2 linked regions of the Elephas maximus indicus genome follow. The protein of the gene in region 1 interacts with the protein of each later gene in a pairwise test. Links are inferred from orthologs where the notes say so. Each region holds a gene or a part of one and is shown on either strand. Other genes may lie near its edges.

The links.
Region 2: the proteins of CBY2 (region 1) and CKS1B interact in binary tests that used the Homo sapiens proteins (3 or more experiments, as listed by UniProt). The two-hybrid records come from large-scale screens. The link is inferred for Elephas maximus indicus from reciprocal best matches to the Homo sapiens genes CBY2 and CKS1B.

What each region holds. Positions count from the first base shown.
Region 1 is NC_064832.1:34,356,270-34,363,982, reverse strand, and holds the start of CBY2 (protein chibby homolog 2), read left to right. Parts: upstream 1-4,698; coding exon 4,699-4,773; intron 4,774-5,076; coding exon 5,077-5,157; intron 5,158-7,713.
Region 2 is NC_064821.1:192,881,140-192,888,004, reverse strand, and holds the start of CKS1B (cyclin-dependent kinases regulatory subunit 1), read right to left. Parts: upstream 3,025-6,865; 5' UTR 2,950-3,024; coding exon 2,891-2,949; intron 692-2,890; coding exon 564-691; intron 1-563. Other genes in the region: SHC1 (SHC-transforming protein 1), read left to right, coding at 6,714-6,865.

The sequences.
Region 1 (7,713 bases):
TTTTCCAGTAGTTGATCTTCATTTGTTGCCAGATAGACTCATCGGCAGTCTCTCCTGAGCTTCTGACTGCTGCCTTTGCTCCATTAGGAGGTGAGAGCTGCTAGCCTGTCCTGCCAACGGCTTGGCCTCAGGCCTCCCTGTCCTGGGGCTGCTCCTCTGGTCCCACAGTAGATCTATCCCTCTGCCCTATCCATTGACGTGGGTCGATTCTGACTCACAGTGACCCTATAGGCCAGAGTAGAACTATCCCACAGGGTTTCCAAGGCTGTAAATCTTTATAGGAGCAGGCTGCCACAGCTTTCTCCTGCAGGGTGACTGGTGGGTTCTAACTGCTGACCTTGTGGTCCACAGCTGAGTGCTTTAACCACTGAACCACCAGGGCTCCTCCATCTGTCAGTGGACACTTTCATGTTGCTCTGAGGCTGAGCAGGTTTCAGCACTCTTTCCAGACTACGGCTAGGAAGAGAGGCCTGGTGATCCATTTTTCAAGGCCAATCACTGAAAACCCTGTGGATAATAATGGTCCGATCCACAACTGATCATGGGGATGGAGCAGGACTGGGCAGCATTTCACTCCCTTGTGCATGAGGTCGCCATGAATCAGGGACTAACTCGACAGCAGCTAAACGTAACAAGATCTGTGTGCGATCCTTACAAACCTTCCTTCTGAATCCAGGAGCCACTAGAAATATCCCCCAAAGTTCTGAGTTTTCCGTCTGCCCTATGAAGCAAAAATAACAAACGTCCCCTATGGCATCATGCAATTTGAAGGTGACAGGCACCATGATTATCCCCTATCTTCCCAGCCCCTTCCACAAATGAAGAGAGAAAGGTCTGAACATGGCGCCCATGCCCACCTCTGGCTTCTGGACCAAGAGCTGCAGTTCCTGCGGCTCTCAGGGGCAGGGCAGGGGGCCCCACGCTCTCTCGCGGACCCTTCTGCTTGCTGGATTTTGCTGCGTGATTCATCATCAGACAGTGGCAGCGAGGGAGCCAGCCCGAGAGTCCCGGATGCCTGCCCGCCCTTTCCTTTGTCTCGTCTCGACCTGTCTGTTTAGATTAGAAACCCACGAGGCATGTCTTCCTCTGCGCTCTGCGCGGCGCCCACCGATTGTGGATGCTCACGGAACGTGGATGATTGATGATGGTGTGATCTGAGTAGTAACAGGCATTTTGGGGACGAGCTGAAGGAAGCTCCTGAGCACTGGGCTATGGAGGCTGGTGTCCTGCAGAGGGGAAGGGACCCCTTGGATGGGCATCTGGAGACACGGGGACCAGAATGGCCCAGCTCCACATGCTCTTCCTTTTAAAAACAAAAAGCAAATTGATCAAACAAGTCTTCATACAAGCTGCAGTATTGTGACTTAAAAAAAAAAAAAAAACTATTGTAGTGAATATATATAACAAGAAAAAGCAATTTCAACATTTGGTATCATGCCTTTTTAACAGCTGCAGTAATTACGTGTCAGCTGTCGAAAATTTTGAGCCAAAGGGAGCAAGACAATGAGGGCACCAAAACAATGATTGTTAATTGAGCGCTTAGGAGGTGTCAACCCCTTTATGTATGTTATCTCAAAAAAAAAAAACAAAAAACAAAAAAAACTCCATTGGCCCGAGTAGAACTGCTCCGTAGGGTTTCCAAGGATCAACTTGTGGATTTGAATTGCCCACGTTTTGGTTAGCAACCCTGATCTTAACCACTGTGCCACCAGGGCTCCGTGTTAATCTCACGTTAGGTATAATTTCCCCGATTTGAGGACAAGGAAACTTAACTTCTGAGAGGGTGGGTGACTTGTCCACTCCACACAGTGACTACTTCTTGGACCCCAGACTTGCACGCTGGTCTGCTGACACCCATGCACACGGCCTTTCCACCTGCAGCCTCATTTGTTTTTATCAATGTCTTCCTCTGGATGCAGTGAAGGAAGTTCCTCTCATGCTGTAGTGGGTTGAATGGTACCCCCTCTCCAAACCTCTCCTCCCACAAAAAAAAGTATGCCAGGAACCGAGAATGTGACCTTATTTGGAAAAAGAGTCTTTGCAGGTATATTTAAAGATTCAAAATCATTCTGGATTAGGGTGGGCGGTAAATCCCATGACAAGTGTCTTTACAAGGGCAGAAAAGGGGAGAAAACACAGAGAATGTCACATGAAGACCAAGGCAGAGATGGCAGTGAAGTATCTACCAGCCAAGGATTGCTGGCAGCCACCACAGTGGCTCAGTGGTTAAGTGCTCAGCTGCTAAACAAAAGGTTGGCAGTTCACATCCACCAGCAGCTCTGAGGAAGGAAGACCTGGTGATTTGCTCAGGTAAAGATTACAGCCTAGGAATCCCTATGGGGCAGTTCTACTCTGTCGTATAGGGTAGCTATGAGAGTGGCTATGAGTCTGAATTGACTTGATGGCGCACAAAAACAACTAGAAGCTAGGAGACGCATGATATCGATTTTCCCTTAGAGCCTCAGAAGGAACCAACCCTGCAGACACCTTGAGTTCGAACTTTTAAGGTCCAGAACTGTGAGAAAGTAAATGTGCTGTTTTCAGCCGCCCAGTTTGTGGTAACTGGTTGAGGCTGTGCTACGAAACCAGTACACGTGCTAACGTAGCAAGATAGTTAGTGTGTTCCTCCCCTTCCTTCCTTCCTTCAGTATTCCTCATGGGTCTTAGAAAAGACTGGGTCACGGGTCAAAATTGTGCCATCACTTTTTGTTGTTGTTGGGGGCCGTCAAGTCAATTCTGACTCATAGCAACCCTATAGTAGTAATTAAAAACACATCGGCGGATACTAACAGATGCCTTTGTCCATGTGGCACCTTTGTAGGAGCAGAGCTTGTGTTCCTTGGCACTGTAGATCTCTTTGTGGGAGGACAAGGCTCAAATGAATTTGCTGGAATGGACCAGGACGCTGGGCTTGAGGAGCCCAAGGTGGGACTACATCCCCAGGGTGGTAGAACGTGCATCTATGCTGGTGACTCTGACATAGGTGAAATGACATACGTAGAGCGTCTTGCACGGTGCCAGAACTTACTGGGCGTGCAGTAATGTTAGCTTCCTTCTTCTCTCTAATTAGTCTCCTTAGCTCAGCCCCAACCATCGCAGCCCATTGATGGCACAGCCCCTTCCAGGTCTCTAGACCATGGCGACGTCCCCATTCCCGTGTTTGGTGCAGGTCTTCTCGCTATAACTCACCGGATATACAGGTGCTTCCGTGAGGTATGCACAAGTGAAACCTCAGTAGTGTTTTCAGACAATATGGGCGTTAGTCACTTAAAGGAATCCTGAGACAAGCTCCCTTATAAAAAATGAAGAATTCTTTGAAAATGCAATTAATGGCCTTCTTGATTTTTGAGTAGCTATATTTTCCAATTTTTGTACATCGGGTTTCTTAAAGCAGGGTGTAACTTGTAACTTGGGCGTGGGAGACTCTGAATGGCAGCTAAGGTGTCCCTGGACCTGCTGACCCTGGCCCGCCATTTTCTTCCCTGCATATGGCATACTAATAGGGAATTGGGGCTCTCTGGTTAATCAGAGGCTTAAGTTACATCAATAACCAGAACGAATGTCCCCATGAGCAGCCTCTGATAGAATTAAGACCAAATTCTCATGGTAACCACAGAGAAAGTAAATAAAAAATTATATACAGAATAAAACCAAACCCAAACCCATTGCTTCTGAGTCAATAAATGGCTCAGCACATACACACCAAAAATCTATATACAAAATAAGTCAGCACTGGAGGGAAAGGGGAACAAAAATGGGCTAAATCACACAGAAAACTAGTAACAAAATGGCAGAAGTTAAGTCCTCCTTTATCTATAATTACTGTGAATGTAAATGGATTAAACACGTGAGTCAAGAGGCTGAGAGTGGCAGATTGGGTTAAAAAAAAAAAGACTCATCTATACGGTGTTGGCAAAGAATATTGAATATACCATGGACTGCCAAAAGAATGAACAAATCTGTCTTGGAAGAAGTACAGCCACAATGCTCCTTAGAAGCGAGAATAGCAAGACTTCACCTCACATACTTTAGACATGTTATTGGGAGGGGACCAGTCCCTGGAGAAGGACATCATGTGTAGTAAAGTAGAGGGTCAGCGAAAAAGAGGAAGACACAGTGGCTGCAAAAATGGGCTCAAGCATAAGAATTGTGAGGATGGCGCAGGACGGGGCAGTGTTTCATTCTGTTGTACATAGGGCTGTTGTGAGTCAGAACTGACTCGGCAGTACCTAATAACAACAAGAACAACATATGCTGTCTACAAGAGACATGTCTTAGGCACAGAGGCACAAAAAGGTGAAGGCGAATTGGAAAATTTTGTCGAGAGGGGCTGGGCTGCTCCCCTCACAAAGCTCAGATGTCAGCCTTGTGATCTTGATGCAGTTTCTACATTTCCTCCTTTGGCCTGGGCAGAGTTCAGTTTGGGTTCCTTCCTTCTTCAGTGGTCCAACTCCAAGCAGAAGATGCCATGTCTAGAGAGAGGGAAGCAGTCTCAGCCCAGCCTTGCAGTGGGGATGTGAATGGCAGCTGGGATGACCAAACAGGGGCTGCTGTTTGGGCTATTGTGTGTCACACTGACCTGGCCAGGTATGTGGACACAGCCAGGGGCAAGCTCTTCCTGGCCTTCTGATGCCTTATTACCTCCTGCAATGCTCAGAGAGAAACCATGAGCCCTGAAGAACACCATATGGTTTTGTGATGTCACCTCTGGAATGTTCTGAGTGTTTGGATGACCAACTTCTGCAGCAGACCTATACCTGGCACCTCACACTGGTATGCCTTTTTTACTTGAGATAGAAATAATAATCTTAGACAAGGATGTAGGTATGACTGTCTCTGCTTCAAAGACACCCAGAAGGCTTTCACATCAGCTAAAACATCTGTCTTAATTTCTGTTCAGAGACTGATGAACATCTTACCAGATATCATCCACACATTCTTTTAGACTTGGGTTTTCATAATGTCCATGATGGCCCAGAGGGGAATAAAGAAGTACGAAGTGTTGTTTTTCCAGTGCCCAACTGAGGCCCAGAGAATGAGCTGGGAAGCAGAAATCTTATTTTCTCTTTTCCACAGAATTCCTGGCCAAATTTTACAAGGAACAGAGATACCAGATCTGAAAACGTAGAAATTCCAATCAGTGTGGTTCTACTTCAGGTAGGGATTATGACAGAAGGGTGTAACCGCCACATTAGTCAGACTAATCCTCCTCTTTCCAAACTCTAGCATGACGTCTCGGAACAAGTAGAGGAGGCAGGGCCTCAGATTCCAGTTCCGGGTTGGTTGCCGACCAGCTATATGTCTGGGAGAGGCAACTTTGCTACTCTGGGACTTGGATTTCTCTTCCCTCACTTGAAGGGGTTGGGCTAGATCATTCCCTAAGACTTTCCAGTTCTAACATATCAAGTCTCTACAATTCTCTGAAAAAACCTGACCTTCTCAAAATGAGATCTTTTGGCACTAGCCGTTGTGCAACCAGTCTGGATTTCTGGGGGCAGAAATAGGACTAGGTCTTGCAATCAAAAGTATGCAAGCAAATCCATTAGAAGGCCTAGTATACAGACCAAGGGATACAAGACTATTTGGAGGTGTCAAGAGAATTAAGCCCAAAGAAGTAAAAAAAATAATAAAAAATTTTTACTTCTTTTTATGTATCAAAGAAGGAGCTCTGGTGGTACGATGGTTAAGTGCTCGGCTGCTAACAGGAAGGTCAGTGGTCTAAACCCACCAGCAGTTCCACAGAAGAAAAGATCTGGTATCTGCTCCTGTAAAGATTACAGCCTAGTGAACCAGATGGGGCTGTTCTACCGTGTCCTAGAGGGTCACTATCAATCAGTTGATTTGACAGCACATAGCAACACCAATGTATCAAAGAGGAGTCCCTGGGTGGTGAAAATGGTTAAGTGCTCGGCTGTTAACTGCAAAGTTGAACGTTCTAATGCATACAGAGGCACCTTAGAAGAAAAGTCTGGCAATCTACTTCCAAAAAATCAGCCATTGGAAACACCACGGAGCATGTTTCTACTCTGACACACGTAGGGTCTGCATGAGTTGGAACCAACTCAATGGCAACTGGTTTTTATGTACCAAAGACAGAGGGCTTAGGGGAGACTGGCATGCTTTTATGATAGGGATTCAGGCAGAGGTCAATGAATTGGTAAAGTCCTGACAGGCTTGGAATACCCAGATTTCCTCCTGCTGTTTCCTTGGTGGGGTCCTGATTGGATTCCTACTGCTGCTATGTCACAAAGGGTCAGACTTACTTCTCCAGAGTCACTTAAGGCCCTGTTTGAAGACTATGGACGGGCAGCCAGAGGGGCTGAAATGTAGGGTGGAGGAGTCAAATGCAGAGGTAACGATCTGAAAGCTCTGTCCAGGGATGTGTACGAGGAGGCTCGATTGCCAGTGGGCATTCCATATTATTTTTATTTTCCTAAAGTTTTTTCTTAAGAATTTTCAGGAGAAGTACATGATTAGAAAGAAAACCTTTAGCATTCTTTGGGGTCGACTCTGACTCATGGTGACCCTATGTGTGTCAGAATAGAACTGTGCTCGATAAAGTTTTCAGTGGCTGATTTTTGGGAATTAGATTGCCAGGTCTTTCTTCCAAGGTGGCTCTGGGTAGACTTGAACTGCCGACGTTTTGGTGAGTAGTTGAGCTTATTACTTGTTTGGAGCACTCTGGGACTCCCATTCTTCCTATAAACCAAAGAACCAATCTCATTGCCATCACATTACAGCGTAGAGCTGAGGTCCACAGGATTTTGTTGGCTGTTATCTTTACGGAAGTAGATCTCCAGGCCTTTCTTCTGTGATGCCTCTGGGTGGGTTCAAACTGCCAACCTTTGGGTTAGTAGTTGAGTGTAAACGATTTGCACCACCCAGGGACCACCTCCATTCTTTATAAGTTGTTGTTGTTTGTACATGGTGGAGGTAATTTTTACAATCTAGGCAATATGTTCAGCAAGAGGGAAAAATACAGGACAAGAAAACATTCTGGATATATTTTTTTTTTTATTAACTTTTATTGAGCTTCAAGTGAACGTTTACAAATCAAGTCAGTCTGTCACATATAGGTTAATATACATCTTACTCCTTACTCCCACTTGCTCTCCCCCTAATGAGTCAGCCCTTCCAGTCTCTCCTTTCGTGAAAACTTTGCCAGCCTCCAACTCTCTCTGTCCTCCCATCCCCACTCCAGACAGGAGATGCCAACACAGTCTCAAGTGTCCACCTGATATAATTAGCTCACTCTTCATCAGCATCTCTCTCCCACCCACTGTCCAGTTCCTTTCATGTCTGATGAATTGTCTTCGGGGATGGTTCCCGTCCTTTGCCAACAGAAGGTTTGGGGACCATGACCACCGGGATTCCTCTAGTCACATCCAGACCATTAAGTATGGTCTTTTTATGAGAATTTGGGGTCTGCATCCCACTGATCTCCTGCTCCCTCAGGGGTTCTCTATTGTGCTCCCTGTGAGGGCAGTCATCGATTGTGGCCGGGCACCAACTAGTACTTCTGGTCTCAGGATAATGTAGGTCTCTGGTTCATGTGGCCCGTTCTGTCTCTTGGGCTCTTAGTTGTCGTGTGACCTTGGTGTTCTTCATTCTCCTTTGCTCCAGGTGGGTTGAGACCAATTGATGCATCTTAGATGGCCGCTTGTTAGCATTTAAGACCCCAGACGCCACATTTCAAAGTGGGATGCAGAATGT
Region 2 (6,865 bases), on another chromosome or scaffold:
GCACAGGCTATAGTTTATCCCAGCCCATCCCACTCCAACCTCCGAGCTATCACCCACTCAGATCTTTATAACTAATTTAAGATTTAAGCATATGGCCTCAGAAGCAGACCCAGAAGTCTGGCCTGTCTGCCAACTACAGAATTGTTAATATCAGTTCGTTTACTATGTTTGTACAGCCCTGGAGTGTCCTTTATTAGTTTTGCCTGGCAGCCGGGTGTCTGGTGTCTTATCACGAAATATACTTTCCTTGGCTTATCTGGAACACATCCAAGAACTGGCTTTCTGATGGAGAATGAAGCAGGGGCTACAACCTCTACCAGGATATATCAGGCCTTAAAAAGAGTACTCTCTGGCTGAGTTAAAGATTAAAGGGGGCTTTCAGTGACAGGCTGGCTCTAAACTCCCCAGATACTTTAATTTTTATTTTTGGTCACTCCAGTTTTTCTAGATGGCTGGTGGGAAAAAGGTCAGTAAATCGTCCCTCCCCCCACTTCTTTGGGTTGTGGAATCTTACTCCCTCCATGTAGCAGTCTTGTATGGTTGCTTTCAGCCACACCACTAACCTGGTTCATGGATCATATAATGGACCCATCCCTGACTCTGCTGAACACCAAGATTCCTCCATTCAGATTCAGACATCAAATGGGTTTTAGGGACCAGCTTGGCTATATCCTTGGGCAACATGACATGCCTGTAACAGAAACAAGGGGAGAAAGGGAATTTGTCAGTACTGGGTACAGTCTGTTAAATAAAATAGCATACAAAGCCAAGAGAGTAAAGAAAAGAGAAACTAGTTTTTCACGTCAGGGAGTTTATACAATCTTATTGTGGGGTTAAACGCATTACTGTCAAGTGGATTCTGACTCTTAGCAACCCTATAGAACAGAGTAGAACTGCCCCATTGGGTTTCCAAGGAGCAACTGGTGGATTCGAACTGCCGACCTTTTGTTTAGCAGCCAAGCTCTTAACCACTGTGCCACCAGGGCTTATACTGTGGGCTAGAGACAGCTATAAATACAGACCAAGTTATGTAAATCCTCACAAAAGTACACTAAAAAGTACAAATTAATGAATAATTCAAATGAGCGAGCACTCTTGAGACATTGTCAGGGAGCTTATAATCGTCTAGCTGTTAACTGAGTTCTGAAAGGATTGGCAAGAAAGTGAAGTCATTTTGTGGAAAGGCCTACATGGACTGCTGGGTGGAAGGGCCACTGAAAGGATGAAAAGGACATGTCTTAATTCTTGAAAATCTAGCCCAAATCTCATTTTCCTAACTCTGAAGGGATGTGTCATGACACTTCTTTTGGGAAACTTCACACCTTCCTAAGCAAGGATAAGTCTCTCTTCATTGCAAAAAATTACTCTGATTCTGAATTGGGCTAACCTGGACAGACTTCATGCTCAATGCAAATGTACTAAATGCTCCCTCTCAGTTATTAACAGGTTTTCTCCAGACATAGTTCTAGCCTAAAGGTCTGAAAATAGCTTACATTCTAACAAGCTCTGGGCACAACGTTTGGCTTCAGTGCATAATGAAACAAACGACAAATAGATAACCTCTTAAACCAAAACACCACTGCCGAGCTCATTGTTCTCTCTTCCAGGGGATGAAACTAGTGACTCCCCCCTAACTCTGCCAAGATGTTATAAGCATACAGTTTTAGTTCGTTTAGTTCAGATGTAGAGGAAAACAGCTGAGGAAAAGAAAGTTAATTGAGTCCAAGAAGGGCCTGGGTCTTTTCCCAAGGACCTGGCATGGAGATGTGTCTTTTTTATCTACGAACACACTCCAGAGCACCCTGTGGCCTTCACTAGGCTGGGTGTAGAGACAAGAAAAGCAAGTTTCCATTTTATGTTCTACAATTGCGGAGACAAGACGCAAACTAGGAAGTTGTCTTAAGTATTACAATTAATAAAGATTAGGAGAATGTCAAGTTGTAGAATCCTCTACTTTCCCTCATTTTCCAATCTAGAATTATGGACTTAGAATTTATCCAATGCAAACTCTGCATCCAACTCAGGGATTCCTTTTTCACCACCCTTGGTAGATGGCTATCCAGTTATCTTTTAAAACAATTTTGGTCAGAGCTGTTTTCTCCATCCTTCCTTGAACCTCATCTCAGGCAGTTTCCTCCAAGAAGCTCTCTCAGATCTTTCCCCTTAGCAGGTTTAATGTGCTCCCATCACACCCTGTAACATCTCCACCATAGCATTTATCACCTTTCTGGAGTCTGTTAGTATCTTTAAGACTTTTCGTTGAAAGCTGAGACCATGTCTTATTCTTGCACCTTGGCAGAACACCTGAAAACTATAAGCCCTCCATAATTGATTCATGAATAGATGCCCTTCAAATATTTGAAGCCATCTATCAGATCCATCGTAAGTTTTTTCTCAGTGTTCCTGGCCAGTTTTTTTCCCACTCCTGTTCCTAGCAGCGCCCTTCCTAAAATAAGCCGGACAGCCACGCCCGCAGCACTCGGTCTCTCCTCGCACGGAGGACACGAGGAAAATTCCAGCTTTGCCTTTGCCACCTTCTCCCGGTAGGCTCTAGGGTCCTATGGTATTCTTATGATAGTAATCGCAAGGCAAGTTCAACTTGCCAGCAGCTGCGAGAAAGATTCAGAAATCCGCACGGGTGAAGGCAGTCAGCACTCTAACCACGCCCATCTATGCTCAACAGAGGGCTTATTCCAAATTTTCAACCAATTTGTCTTTTTCAGAGAGCGTCCCACCCCTCGCGCATGCTCTCTACGCCTCACCCGGCTCAAACCCACCCCGTACATCTCTCGCGCATGCGCCAATTCTGTCGCCTCAGTCCTCATTACTAACTCGTGCCCTCACTTGACAAGGTTCACAACTTCGTTAAGGCCCCCGCGCCGGCACTAACCGGTACTCGAACTCCTCGTCATCGTATTTGTCCGAGTAGTAGATTTGTTTGTGCGACATAATCGCTCAGCCTGAGGGACTTCAGACCCGCGCCGCCAACCTCCAAACAACTCCCAGCAGCACGCGCTCCCACCCCCTTTGGCCTCGCTTTCAAACACACCGCCCACACTTCTTATTGGTCCCTTTTGTTCAAGGCGGGACAGCTCCACCTTCAAGCCTCCGATTGGCTTAAATTTACTACTACTAGGGTCCTTATTGGAGGGTAGGTCCTACGTTTCTCAAGAACGAGTTTGGGTCAAAAATAGGCCTCTTATTGGCTACCACTGCTCCTGTGCGCGTTCTCGCGCTACCATTGGCTGACTCGAGAAAGTGGGACGGGTGAAGGAGGGACGGTGAGGTAGAGGGTCAGGGGTTAGTGAGACCGGAAGTGAGAGCAATAAAGTTTCTCCAGGGAGGCCGGGTCCGGGGAGAAAGTTGGAGAGGGAACCTAAGGAGGCAGTGGCGTAATCCGGAACCAAACAGGCCCGCGGTGCGGTGCGGAGACTCCATGCAGCCCTGGTGAGTCTTGACGTTTTTTCTGTTTAGGTGATCCACATCTCCACCCCGGAACCCCTCTCCCGGGACCCCACTTCCGGTCTTCATTGTTAAGTCCCGCCCCTTGCGACCCCCTCCGCGGAAGTTCCACCTCCCAGCTCCAGGGGGCTCCCTGAACCGTGATTTTTTTTTTTATTTATTGTTCCTGACGCTACCCAGTCGTCCATCTTTCCTGGAAGTCCCACCCCTAGACATGCTTCCAAACCCTACTACGAGAAACCCTTCGTTAATGCTTCCAAGTCGCCGAAGCTCCGCCTTCTTGCGACGGTTTTCCGCTAACTCCTGTCTGTCAAGAAGCCTGTCCCCCAAAAGGGCCAAGCCAACCCTCGCGCTTCAAAGAACTATTCGAGAATCCGTTGAAGCCACGCCTCTGTAGAAGCCCCGCCCCTCTAGAAGCCCCGCCCTTTCCTTAATCTAAGTCTGATCGTCCAGAAGCCTCTCCTCATAGAAATTTCCCTTGCTCGCGTCCTAGGGGCCACGCCCCCGCTGGGGCTTTATCCTTGTCATCACCTCTGAAGTTTTGTCTTCAATTCTAGAAGTCTCACGTGCTTACACTTCCCGGTCCGTCTTTCAGGTCCTTGGACTCAGTTCTCCTGCGCTCTCATGCTCCACCGGGTGGGAAGTCACAGTTCCCATCTCTGGCCCTGAAAAGTGGGAGAATAGAGGCACCGTTTTCCTTTCCCTTACCCCCCTTCCTAGAGTGGACCGGCTTGAAGTGGGCTGGACTTGGGGTTTGGCACGAGACTGGTAGAGAGACTTGCTCATAGATTCCCAGCCCTATTCCCTCCATTGCCAGCCCACTTCCCAGGACCGAGTCCACCCCAGAAACAGCTGCAAGTCGTACCTGTACCGCAGGAGTTGGGTAGGGCCGTGGATTCGTTAGTGTGTGGCATGTGCTTGTGACAGGAGCCAAAATTTTCTATCACCAGACAGAACGGTGGTTTGGAGCAGGGATGGGGAGCAGTGTCCTATTTTGCGGTTTGATTTTTTTCTAAGGGACTCCTCAGTCTTCCCTTCCCCCAAACCAGAGTTCTTGCCTGGGCATTCCTCCTGGCTCCGCTTGCCCAGCCTTCCCTACTGGAAACATTCCTGAGGCTTTCGCCATTTCCTGCTACTTCCCGCTCCTCTTGCCTCCTCCCTGCTGGGCTGAGAAGCCAGGCACAGCTCCTTCCCCACACCCAATCACCGGGACTCCCAGTAGGCAATCTCCTTTCTCCCTATGCAAATTTAGAGTTAAACTTCCTCTTTCTTTTCTTCCAACTGCCCATACCTGTTGGTCACTCCCTGCCTCTGGATACTGCAGACTCCACAGAACGGCCATCTCTAAAGATTAGGGTTAAGTGCTATGGCTGCTAACCAAAAGGTCAGCAGTTAGAATCCACCAGGCGCTCCCTGGAAGCTCTATGGGGCAGTTCTGCTCTGTCCTATAGGGTTGCTATGAGTTGGAATTGACTCGACGGCAACGGGTTTGGTGTGTGTTTGTGTTTTGGGGGGGTGTGAGGCTGTGGCAGAATCCTTTCCTCATTCTCCGTTTGCCTGAGAGCTGAGGCCTTAGGAAATGAAGTGATAGAATTCCTTTTCAGGAGTGGTGGATGGAGTGATGAGCTCTTCTGGGATGAAGACTAAGGGGAGGTGAAAGCGTTTAGCACAATATATAACACGTTTTAAGTGCTGGTACTGTTATCACTGTAATCATACGATTATTCCCTTCTTTTTATTCTCTGAAGTAAATTGAAAAAAAAATAGGGTAATTCTGAGGTGATCCTGGGGGTATGTGTATCTTTTTGTTTTTGGCCACTTTCTAACTTCCTCTGTGATCCCCTCAAGCACAGCTGTGACAGGAAGCTGTGGGTGGAAGGGATGGGCTCGGGATTGTTCCCTGTGTCCGGCCTCAGCCCATCTTCTCCTGGCATCCCTTTCTCCTGTATTTATTAACATAGATCTGTCTTCTGTTCTCTCTATCCCTTTGTAGCTTGGAGGCCCCACTTCTCTTGGAGAGCTGCCACACTCTCCCACCTCCCCCAGCCAGACTCCTTCCCTGGTGTTAGGGACACTGTGCTCCATGGTGGACACCTGGGCATTCCCAGTCACCACTGCAAGAGGAAGAGTATGAGTATACCTGGCAGGACTGGGGAGTTGACTTTAGAGTTAGTACCCAGGCCATCCGCTTCTCAGCTTTGACAGCTTGCTTTGCTAACTTGTGCCTGTGGAAAAGCAGCCAGAACAGTGCCTGGCTGTGGGCTGCTGCTCTTTGCCATGGTGGGTGCCTTGCATAGGGAAGAAGCCGCAGCCAACCTGTCCTCTTGCTCCAGCTCTTGCCTTGTGGCTCCCTGATGCACCACCGAGGTTGGACTTCCTCCTTACTTTACCAGCTTCGCCCTTCGTCTTGGCCCCTCTCTACATCCACTGGGACCACTTCCTTCCCTTCCCCATCTCCCTACCTCCAGTCCACAGCTGTTGTGGCAGAGGATGCTAATGGCTCCGGCTCCCTAGGTCCACAGCCCCACTGTGTGTTAGTGAAGGGCGAGGTGGCCTGGGCTGGAAGATGGGGAAATTTGAGTGTTCGACCAGGACAGGAAAGAAAGTGCTGAGCTCAGGGATCCCCTCCCTTTTCCACCCCCAGCTGTCTCTGTTTCCTCCCTCATTGCTCCCCACCCCCCCCCCCGCCCACCTCTCCCTTTCCTGGTTTCCTGCTTCCCCCCTGGCCTGCCCATGTCCGGTTTGGACTGATCCAGACCTCCTCTTATCTCCCTCCTTTCCTTCCCTCTATCCTTCCCTTCAACGCCCACCTTACTCCTCCCCAGATAGCTGGTTGGTTGTTTGGAGGTGGGGGAAGAGGGACGTCGCTGTCCCTAACCCAGCAAGGGTTCTAGGTTGGGTTGGCAGTGGGGGATCAGCCCCTCAGAGCCTGTGAGTCAGCACTGTCCTTGGGATTGGTCTCTCCCCTCAGCTCTCCGCCCCTGAGGAGGAGCTAGGCAGCTCTGGGTCCAGCCTGTTCTCCTCTCGCCAGAGAAGAGGCTCCATGCTGGGCGGAGATGGGCCCTGAAACTGTTTGGGGCTGAGCTGGGGGAGCTGAAGCTACCTGTCTCTCTCCCTCCTCAGGACTCCTGAGACCCCTGGGCTATAGAGTTCCGACCAGGCTAAGGGCCTGGGGATGCCTCCTGCCTGGCCCCCTTGCCCTGACTGGCAGGGGGGCCGGGCTGGGCAGCAGCACCCCTCTCACCCCAGCCATGGATCTCCTTCCCCCCAAGCCCAAGTACAACCCACTTCGGAATGAGTCTCTGTCATCGCTGGAGGAGGGGGCTTCAGGGTCCACGCCCCCGGAGGAGCTGCCTTCCCCATCAGCCTCATCCTTAGGGCCCATCCTGCCACCTCTGCCTGG